2 linked regions of the Macaca fascicularis genome follow. The protein of the gene in region 2 interacts with the protein of the main gene of each other region in a pairwise test. Links are inferred from orthologs where the notes say so. Each region holds a gene or a part of one and is shown on either strand. Other genes may lie near its edges.

Region 1 (5,543 bases), on a different chromosome or scaffold from region 2:
ATTTTCTCTAACTGCACTATAGAGTACATAGGAATTACCTAATAAGCTTGTTAAACTACAGATGCCTGAAACCACCCCTCACCCCAAAGATTCTGATTGAGTGGGTCTGGGATGAAGCCTTTGGTTTTTTGTTTGTTTGAGACAGAGTCTCGCTATGTCGCCCAGGCTGAAGTGCAGTGGTGCTATCTTGGCTCACTGCAACCTCACCTCCTGGGTTCAAGTGATTCTCATATCTCAGCCTCCAGAGCAGCTGGGACTATAGGCTCACGCCACCACGCCCAGCTAATTTTGGAATGGAGCCTTTGCTAATTTTGGAATGGAGCCTTTGAATTTAAGTTCCTAATAAGCTACCTAGTGATACTGATACTGTCAGTTCTGGGGCCACAAATAGAGTAACACTGCTATTGACTACAGTGCTATGATTTGTAAATCTGAGTTACTACTGTAAGTCTTATTGAAACTAATAAAACTTCAAATCTAACTCCACTGTATGTTTTGACTCAAAGTTAATCATTTGACTTAATTCCATACTTTCTTTGTTTAGTAAGAAGCCATTAATGGTTATTCATCACCTGGAAGATTGTCAATACTCCCAAGGTAATTTTAGTCCCTGAGCTCTTATTATAATACATAATATTTCCAATATAAAATAGGAAAAGTGACCTGGTAATAATAGCTAAGAAGGCACTCAGCAAATCTCATTAAAAAAAAAAATTAGACAACTGCCAGAGTACCATCATTTTATTAAAGTGCTTAAAGACCACAATGATTGTTACCAATCTACTGAATGTTTCTATTATATCCCCTTAGAAATTAGATATTCCTCTTCTTCCCATGAAAAGAGAGGGGTGAGCTGAGAGGGTGGAGAAACACTGAAAGAAAAAAGTTGTTGTCTTAACCAATGAGTCAATGAGTTATATAAAATTATAAAACTAGTGTCTTCACTGTGATTATCCTTTGATGTCTCCTTGAACAGACTGTCCCTCATTGCAAAGTGGCAATAGGCCAATGAACTATTAATATTTACACTTGAGTTATATATGCAAACAAATGCTAAATATTAGCTTTATTTTGCTATGCTACATTAAAGTTCTCTTGATCCTTAAAACTAACTGACAATTTTGTTTTCCCCTATAGCACTAAAACGAGTATTTTCCCAAAATGAAGAAATACAAGAAATGGCTCAGAATAAGTTCATCATGCTAAACCTTATGGTACATAAACTTTATGATGTTTTCTTAATATTATAATTTCATGGAAAATTTGAATCCCTTTTTTCTTTTTTTTTCTTTTTTTTTTTTTTTTTTTTTTTTTTTAGATGGAGTCTCGCTCTGTCGCCCAGGCTGGAGTGCAGTGGTGCGATCTGGGTTCACAGCAACTTCAGCCTCCCTGGTTCAAGTTATTCTCCTGTCTCAGCCTCCCGAGTAGCTGGGACTACAGGCACCTGCCACCATGCCCAGCTAATTTTTGTATTTTTAGGAAAGATGGGGTTTCACCTTGTTGGTTAGGCTGGTCTCAAACTCCTGACCTCAGGTGATCCACTCACCTCAGTCTCCCAAAATGCTGGGATTACAGGCATGAGCCACCGCACCCGGCCTCCTTTTTTTCTATTTTTAAAGCACAAAGAGCTAAATGTTGGTTAATAGAGGAAGTTATGTGGAATTATAAAAGGCCAAAATAGAATTTACTGACAGTCTAGTTCACACAAAATCATCTTGAAACTATCAAAAACAAATGAATCCAATAACATTGTTTTTTTTTCTTCTGCTAGCATGAAACCACTGATAAGAATTTATCACCTGATGGGCAATATGTGCCTAGAATCATGTTTGTAGGTATGTATGTGATCTCATTTCATCGGATCTACAAAATTAGTAGAAGTCAGCATTCTTGCTTTTATTTTTAAATGCTGGTTCAAGTACTATTCTTTTTAAAGAGAAGTCATTTCTAATCCAATCAATATCAGCTCTTGTCAGTTCTACAACCAAAATCCACTATCTCTGCAATTTGAAAATTTTAAATATTTTTTCAAAGCACGTATGCTATTAAATCTATATCCCAATGTACTTTCAATACACTGCCCCAGACTAGATTGACAGAGATCTATGACACACTAAAAGGAGAATTCAGGTTAATTCATCATGAACCGACATGTATGAAAACTAATTCTGCTTATAAATTTGCTTGACATTTGTTTTAGATTAAGAAATAAAAATGATTTTAAGAACATTTTATGGATGTAGCCAGAGGCCATTATCCTAAGCAAATTAACACAGAAACAGAAAACCAAATAGTGCATGTTCACACGTATAAATAGGAGCTAAATACTGGTTACACATGGACATAAAGAGGGGAACAATAGACAACAGGAACTCCAACACAAGGGAAGGAGGGATGGGGCCAAAGGGTGAAAAACTAACTGTTGGGTACTATGTTCAATATTTGGGTGTTGGGTTCAGTTGAAGCCCAAACTTCACCATCACACAATATATCTATGTAGCAAATTTGCACACATAACCCCCAAATATAAAATAATAATAATAAAATTTTCACAAGAGTGAAAAAAAAGAACATGCTAAATTATACTTTACTGACTCGGTTTTTTTCTTGACAGACCCTTCTTTAACAGTCAGAGCTGATATAGCTGGAAGATACTCTAACAGATTGTACACATATGAACCTCAGGATTTACCCCTATGTAAGTATTCACAAACGATCTGAAACAGTGGTCATAGCTGACCCCTGACTGTTAGTTAAGGGACAATGATGCCCTACATCAGTGCTTCTCCACAAACAGTGCTATCTACACACCAGAATCACTGAGGCTAGTGGTGGTGTTTAAAACGCCAACTTCTGGCTCCCACCAAAATCAGAATTTTGGGGGTAGCTCAGAATCTATTTTAACAGGGATGCCTAAGGGCTTTTATGATTACTAAATTCTGAGATCACTAAAAAGAATATAGTACACATTAAAACGACAGAAACTTGAGAGAGTCCATTCTCCTAGTATCAAAGATCTCATGTGATTTCCTCAAATGATAGTAAAATCATTTCATCTTTCTTTAATGCCTATAAGCAAGGAGGTACAGTCTTACTTAGGACTTTAATCCTCTCTTTTTTTTTTTTTTTTTTTTTTCGTAGAGACAGGGTCTTAGTCTATTTCCCAGGCTGTTCTCAAACTCCTGGCCTTAAGTGATCCTCCCACCTCAGCCTCCCAAAATGCTGGGATTAGAAGCATGACCTACCATGCCTGGCCAAATCTATTTTTTACAACATTCATTGTCAACCACATTTAGTAAGACAACTGTGCCTGTAAGATCTGGCAATACTAATACAAAATGATCCATTAAAAAATAAAAGAGGTATTCCTCAAAACCCCTCTAATGAAATTATTCAACATAAAGTTGACCAACCAGCTCTCAATGGTCTAATCCCTAAATTTACATGTACACTTTTAGCATATTCCTTAATGTCACAGATGAATTCCCAAGTTTTCAAAGCTATTGGGTCAATTTCAGGTTCTAGAGTTAATAGATCATAGCATTTATACTTTCATTTGTTAATAGCATAATATATATTAACTCTTATTTCAGTGATAGAAAACATGAAGAAAGCATTAAGACTTATTCAATCAGAGTTATAAGGGATGATGGAAAAATGCCTTCACTTCGAAGAAGTCAAATTGAATGAAGAAAACCTCTGGCACATTGACAAATATTAAATGTGCAAGTATATAGATTTTGTAATATTACTGTTTAGTTTTTTAATGTGTTTGCAATAGTCCTATTAAAATGAATGTTTTTTAAATCTGAGACTGACAATATAGTTTTATTTCTGCCTCATCAGTAGCAAAGAAAGCCTGCCAAGAGTAATAGTGGAGACAGGAGGACCTAAATAAGAGGTTCCTATAAGGTTTGTCTCTATTTCTTCACCTCTCCTTCACTCCATCAACTAATCTAACTTTATTTTTAATTTTCTAATTTTTTTTTTTTTTTTTGGTAGAGATGCAGTCTCACTATGTTGCCCAGGCTGGTCTCGAACTGGGCTCAAGCAATCCTCCAACCTTGGCCTGCCAGAGTGCTGAGATTATAGGCCTGAGCCACTGTTCCCGGTCCAACCACCAACTAATCTAATTTTAATTCTGTCTCCTCCACTGTACCATACCTGCCAACCCAGGTCATAAATGATCTCCATGTTACCAAAAAAAGTAGATAAATCTCTGCCCACTTGTGATTTTAAATTTTAGCTACATATTGCAGCATTAACCACTTACTTCTTTTCTTACTTTACACTAAGACAGACATTTAAAACCTAATTATATTTTTAAAATTCAACTACATTTATTTATTTATTTGAGACAAAGTTTTGCTCTGTTGCCCAGGCTCGAGTGCAGTGGTGCAGTCTTGGCTCACTGCAACCTCTGTGCCCCCGCCGCCACCCATCAAGTAATTCTCCTGCCTCAACCTCCCAAGTAGCTGGGATTACAGGTGTGTACCACCACACCTGGCTAATTTTTGTATTTCTAATAGAGACAGGGTTTCACCATGTTGCCAGGCTGGTCTGAAACTCCTGACCTCAGGTGATCCACCTGCCTCAGCCTCCCAAAGTGTTGGGGTTACAGGCCTGAGCCACTGCATCCAGCTACATGTTTTTCTTAATTAGTGGGTAGATACTTTAAAACTTCTAATAATTTTAAGAAAGTGTAACTACTTCAGGAAAATTGAAGAATTCTCCAATTAACTAGTAGGGAAGGATTATATTTATTCTGAAATGATCAAATATCCAATCATCAACTCAGTTCTCCACAGGAAGCCTCCAGAGAGTTAATACCATGTCTTCTATTTATTTAAATAACAACAAGAAGAAAAAAATTCTGCTAATAGAAATCCCAAAATCAGCTGGGAGTAATTATCAGAAGGTAGAAAATATTTTAGAGGCTGGGCATGGTGCCTCACACCTGTAATCCCAGAATTTTGGGAGGCTGAGATGGGAGGATCACCTGAGATCAGGAGTTTGAGACCAGCCTGGTCAACATGGTGAAACCCATCTCTACTAAAAATACAAAAATTAGCCTGGCATGGTGGTGAGCGCCTGTAATCCCAGCTACTCAGGAGGCTGAGGCAGGAGAATCGCTTGAACCTGGGAAGTGGAGGTTTTAGTGAGCCAAGATCGTTCCATTGCACTCCAACCTGGGCAACAAGAGTAAAACTCCATCTCAAAAAAAAAAAAAAAGATAAAAAGAAAGAAAATATTTTAGATGGGCAAAAATTTTCCTAACTCATAGGATTTTATTGCATTTAGCAAAATTTGAATTGCTTTATGATATAGAACTACACTTTTATATGAGATAGATATGCAATGTCTATGATATTATGTTATAGATCCCTGTAATTTCAAAATTTGATGAGTCTGAGAAAAAAAATGATTTTCTTTGGGTGTTATTTGATCACTATTCTGTTCATTTTAAGCAGGTTTGTAGTAAATTGATCTATTTGAATATAAATAGGTTATATGATTATCAGTACTAGATACCCATTATCCTA
Region 2 (6,037 bases):
GCTACTGCGCCTGGCCCAGTAAATTCATTTTAAGTGTTTATACCAGGGCAGAGACCAGGAGAAAGATGAGAAGCTGGCCCAGCTTGTTGGGATGCTCCTGGAGGGCTGTGGTTGGGGTTTAACATCCAGCTAGCTTAGCTCATAGCTGCTGAAGACATTAATCAATGTGCTCTATTATGCAATTGCAGATAGCAGGCACTGTGCTCTCTCCACTATGGGAACTTACAGCTACTCAGAGACAGACACATATATTGACTCCTGTAGACAAGGTGAACTAATGCATCCCAGCAATTACCATGTGCAAATCTTTACGCTAGATGCATCAACATATCCTCCTGAACCCACTGAAGAGTTGCCCTGCAAACATGAGTAAACAGGTTCAGAGATGTTAGGTAACTTCCCATGGTTACACTTAAAGTCCTGACATGGACACTGTAGGCTCACTTCTAAGTTCTTTTTTCCATGACTCACTTGCCTGATTTACCTGCATGTCATATTCAACTTTTTGTTCTTTCATGCAACAAAGCCATCTCATATGGGCCAGACGCCATCTTAGGCATTAGCAACAGAAACAATCCCAAGGGAACAGCACAGCCACAGCCCCCGCCCTCACAGAGATTAGCATTTGTGAAAACAGACATCAAGCACATAATGAGAGACATGACATTATGTGCTTGATGTCTGTTTTCACAAATGCTAATCTCTGTGAGGGCGTAACTATGTGCGCATAACATGTGGGGGGCGGGGGGGGGGGGGCATCCAGGATGCTAACCCAGGCCAAGCAGTTCAAAGTGAACTGAAGCTTTTACATCTGAAGAAGTGATGCAGACTCAGGAGTTGGCCAAGGAAAGTCAGCATTACGAGGGAAGGAAAGTGAACCAGGCAGATGGAACAATGTATGAGATGGGACAGAGAGAAGGTGCATTCAGGGACCTTAGAGAAGGGTGGCTGGAGAGGACAGCAGGGGTCAGATCACGAACTTCGTGTGCACACATTTGAGACTTAATCCCAAAGCAATTAGAAGCCAGTTTCCAATTCACAAAATTCTTTTGCCACAGAAGAGGCAGAAATCACTTCATTTTAATACCTACCAATAGCCTATAGGATGGTCAGTTCGAATTATTTTCAGGTCCACAGCAACTGACATAGGATACTATGGGGTTGATCCCATAAGAACAGGAGGAAAGAGCTGCTTTCCCCAAAACTCCCATTACCACTCCCTGCTGGCCCAAGATCACCAGGAAATTGACCCCAGGAGGGAATATAGAACGTTTGGGAAGAGCAGGTCCAACTCTGGCTCTTGCGCCGCTAACATCTTAATAGTGAAGTTGGTTATATTGTGCCATTACACTGCCAGTTATAATTTACACAAATTGTTCTTCCTCTGGCTTGGTCTGTCTCCTCCCCTGCTCGGTGTAGAAGTATTTTTGCTCTCAGGGACGGATCCCAGTAGCCTGATGTTCCATCCTCCCTCCTTGCCCCTCTGTTGCAGGCCCTGTCCCACAAAGAATTAGAAGAACATCCCTTGCTAAATTCCAGGAGTCAGCAAAGAGCGGACACCTTGTTTTAAACATTCTGACAGCAGGTAGGCAGTATTCTGGGAAGAGTATAATAAAAGCCTCTACAGTTAAGTTAAACCAGCAAATAAACTGGCTCCCTAGTTCAAATGTGCAAGACAGCCTTAGGAGCATGTTAAGATGACAGAAAAATGAAGACATGGGGAAAAAAACACAAATCACTGATAGTAAAATAATTTTATTTAGTTTCTTATTTTAAAAAAGGTAGCATTTCAACATATAAATTTAGACTCAAGATTACAGGGTATATTTGCCAAAAGGAACACCCTGAAAGATGGCCAGCCTCAGAGCTGAGGGCACAGGGAGGCACACTCCTCACATGTGGAGTTTAAGCAGAAGTGCTTTAAGACTTCACAGCGGCATTTCCCTGTTCCTCAGCCCTGCCTCCAGGGCCATCACTTTGGGGCAACAGCTTTGCTCATGTAACTATAAAACATCTCTAGGAATGAAAGCACAGAGGTCAATGATCCAGATTTTCCACGACAATCATCTGAGGCAACAATTTGACAGGTAAAGAATTTATTTTTATAATTCAAAAGTTCTTTTAAGGAGAACTAAAGAACACAAAATTCATTCATAAAGAGAATTTATAGAATTAAATGAGCAAAAATGAAAAATTATTTTCTCCATATTACAAATGCCTCTATAGGATAAGGCCCAGGGGAAAGACCCACTCAAATCTGGGCTTTCCTTTCCCAAATAAAGTGTTTGGCACAACCAACAAGCTGTCATGAGACTGACAGGCCTGACAGCTGAAAGGTTTCTAGAAGTGGTCCCATGACTTTTCTGTGGAGCTTCAATATAGTGTACACAAGAGGTGTCTTAAGCTGCACAAACTCAGGCCAAACTACGCAGCACACTGCTCCAGAGAAGTTAAAACTGAAGGAAAAAAAAAAGGTCCACATGAAGTAGGTCTCCTATTGCCACAGGTTAACTCTGTTGTTTCTCATGGAAAATTAAATTCACTGGCTGCCCAGGACGTCAGTGGAATCCTGATCTCCTGGGGGAGGTGAGAGCTGGAGAAACAACTTGGATTTAAGCATCTCTGGGCCAGGTGGGAAGGAGACAATGACCAAGGATGCTTTCCAGGTGACTTTTTGTTCCACACTATGTGGGCTCCAGACAAACAATCTTAAGGAGCATCAGTGTGCTTGTGACCATCGCAGCCCTCGGACTTGGGCCTTTAGACGGAGGTGATGGGGCAAATGAATATACCCCAGATCCAGTTTTAAAAATAAAAACTTCCTGCAATTATGATACACAACTGTGCAGCAAATCACTAGGAATTGTATGCTGCTCCTATTTGTGGTTAAAGCCCTGTCCCACTCGTGGCCAGTCACAGCCGAAAGGTAACACACAAGGAGGTGGCTGTAGCTAAAAACCAGGCACCTTAGTCAAGCATGGCCTGCGGCAGTGATGCTGACAGTCATCACCCAATGGAGGGAATGCAGGGCCCCAGAGCTTTGGTTCAGAGCAAAGGTTTCATCTCACCCCAAACTTCAAATCAAGCCCTCTGTATCTCTGAGCTTATGAATACAAGAAACTAGTGATTAGGAATCTCTATGAGGAATCTCTGGTTGGGTAGCAAAGCTCAGGTCCCTGCAAGCCACCACCATCCTGTAGGAAAACAGAAAGGTGCAAATCGTATCAAGTAAAAGGTTGCTCAAGTGGAAGATCGTTTCCTGGGGAACTTCAGTGGCCTGGATCTTAATCACATGGATGAAGGCTGGAACTGGATCCCAAAGAAAGGGCCTAGGTCCCAAGTGCAATGAGTCTTCTTGAACTTACCATATCCTTCTCAGTCATCTCTTGAATGGCTGAGCACACAATTCCCTGGGGGACCAATGTAAACATTATTCAACTGATCTCCACTTAGGAAAACACAGCTTGTTATATATTTAGTGTTTAACATTCCAGTGCAGGCAGTATCTTAGCATCAGACTTTCCTCACTCATGAGTAGCAGTTTAGAAAGGAACACATATAGGTTACTTGATAAGACTGTGGCTGAAAAGACCATTTGTGTGTCAGACAGCTGGCTCCATCCTCCAATCAGTGGACTACCCAGGACTATCGCAGGAGAGGCAGAACAGATGAAGTGTAAGTTCCGTGTAAATCTGAAGAGTCCGTATAACCATTGTTCCCACTTAACCCCTTGGGCCACATCTTGATATGGAGAACATTTCCACCTCTTGCATCAACCTGTGCTCTCTTTGTTTTGGATGAGGTTCTCTCCAGAGGGTTCAAGAGCCTCCTTAGAGGGGAGTGAGCTTTCTCTTCCAGTCCTAATATCTGAATATTTCAAAGCACATGAGGAGTCCACGAACATGTTAGGGATGTTGCTGCCAAAATAGATCTTACTGTTGGAAGCAATGGCCTGGTACTTTTTGAGCTCCAGATATTCCGGGGTCAATTTGTGCTGTGTGGGAGCAAACAAGAGCAAAGGCATCAGGATACTCTGGTGCAACAGTCTTCTCTCTCTCTACATACATTTCTCCTGTTGCTCTTCTGAGTATCACGAGTCAAGCCTGAATAATTGCCAATGACCCTCTCTCACTTTGGAGAGTGGCTATCACATTAACAGTTGCGTTCCTGACTTAAAATTCCTTCAATAAGCTCTTGACTTAATGCAAGAGAAGCTGTTCACTTTTTAATAAAAGGATGGGGGAGGTTAGAAAACAATTTGTGATAACTAATGATAATAACTAATAATAATAATAATAACTATGGTGACTTTCATTTCATCTAGTTGAATTCAACCTGGAATTGGTCTGGAGTTTCTGTTGATTGTCTTTCTAAAAAACTTATTTTTATTTTTGTAGAGATGGGGTCTATGTTGCCAGGCTGGTCTCAAACTCCTGGCCTCAAGCAATCCTCCTACCTTGGCCTCCCAAAGTGTCGGAATTAAAGATGGGAGCCGCTGCACCCAGCCTCTTTTTTTTTGGAGATGAGATCTCACTCTGTTGCCCAGGCTGGAATGCAGTGGTTCAATTATAGCTCACTGCTGCAGCCTCCAACTTCTGGGCTCAAGCGATACTCTCATCTTAGCCTCCAGGGAGGCTACAGGAATAAGCCATCATGCCTGGTTCTCTGTTGATTCTCTTGAGAGAGATACACAGATCAATGGATGAGAGCAGAACTTCAAAGGAAGGGCTGGTGCTGCTTTTCTTGAACAAATTCTAGAACTAGAATAAAATCTCAAGAGGTCATCTGATCTGGTCTTTTGCCTTTCCCCAGAAGCTGGATGTTTAAGCTGTCTGTGACAGACAGATATTTGTCCACCACCAGATCTCCCTCTGTCACAGAGTTTTGTTTTGTTTACATCAGTGCCAAGATGTATCTATCTAACCAGAATCTCCCTGGGTTTGATTAAAACTCACTGACCACCAGACCTCCCTCTGTCACAGTGTTTTGTCTAAATCAGGATGCCAAGATTATCTAACCAGAATCTATCTGGGTTTGATTAAAACTCGTCGACCACCAGATCTCCCTCGGTCACAGAGTTGTTTTTTGTTGTTGTTGTTGTTTTTTTGCCTAAATCAGGATGCCAAGATGTCTGTAACCAGAATCTATCTGGGTTTGATCAAAATCCATTTCCACTGTTCCCTGGAACATATGCCTTTCAAAGCCCCTCAGATCCTGCTCTGTGATCCTCTCCTTGAGTCCTGGCCTGTCCCCCAGGCAAAAGTCCATGTTGTCCTTCACAGTCCTACAGCATTTATTTTCTACACTTTGACATCTTTCACTCCCTGGATCTCTATCTTCCCCAGGTGATTCGTATCCTCTGTCAAAACACTCAAATCAAATCTGGTCATAGTGTACAACCACATTTCTTCCTCAAGCCTTTTTAATATAGGTTAGTATATGAGTCACATTTTTCAAAATGGCATAAAACTACTGCCCCTTTCTGAATAAGGTAGACCTCAATGGCAAGATCTTGAAACTTGTGCCGGATGAGCTTCTCCCATTAGATTTGGACTCCTAGCTTCCTCAACTGGAGCTTCCTGTCATGCCTTTCTCTTGGTCAAATTCCATTCTGTGTCTGTAGAATTGTCTTTCAATGTTACGTTCATTTTAAAATGTATATTGGTTTTCAAAGTACTGACAACTCTCATTCTATCATATCTTATCATTTCTTCTAAATACAGATTATGTTGTTCCTTTCTAAATTGAAAGCCCTGTCTATATCTTAAAACTTGACTCTAATCCTTCAAACTGCATCATCCACTTTAGTAATCTCTTTCTCAACCCTTTATCTCTTACAAATCTGCTCCACAATAACCTTCTCAGAATACTAGCAGAGTTCTAGCTGCCTCTTATATAGCCCCTGCTCACTAGCCCTTACCCGCTAGCCAGCTTACCCCAGTCCTTACAGCAAATTATCACCTACAGATCACCCAACCTCCCTTCTCAAGTTATCCCACATGAAATTCCTCATGACTGGAATAGTTTTTTAAATCCA

What was found. The genes of interacting proteins can lie anywhere in the genome.
Region 1: the proteins of ERLIN1 (region 2) and AGR3 interact in binary tests that used the Homo sapiens proteins (3 or more experiments, as listed by UniProt). The two-hybrid records come from large-scale screens. The link is inferred for Macaca fascicularis from reciprocal best matches to the Homo sapiens genes ERLIN1 and AGR3.

Annotation. Positions count from the first base shown.
Region 1 is NC_088377.1:113,343,549-113,349,091, forward strand, and holds the end of AGR3 (anterior gradient protein 3), read left to right. Parts: intron 1-544; coding exon 545-597; intron 598-1,137; coding exon 1,138-1,214; intron 1,215-1,771; coding exon 1,772-1,835; intron 1,836-2,614; coding exon 2,615-2,698; intron 2,699-3,593; coding exon 3,594-3,643; 3' UTR 3,644-3,807; downstream 3,808-5,543. UniProt on the Homo sapiens protein: Required for calcium-mediated regulation of ciliary beat frequency and mucociliary clearance in the airway. Might be involved in the regulation of intracellular calcium in tracheal epithelial cells.
Region 2 is NC_088383.1:109,095,209-109,101,245, forward strand, and holds the end of ERLIN1 (erlin-1), read right to left. Parts: intron 3,995-6,037; coding exon 3,773-3,994; 3' UTR 1,740-3,772; downstream 1-1,739. UniProt on the Homo sapiens protein: Component of the ERLIN1/ERLIN2 complex which mediates the endoplasmic reticulum-associated degradation (ERAD) of inositol 1,4,5-trisphosphate receptors (IP3Rs).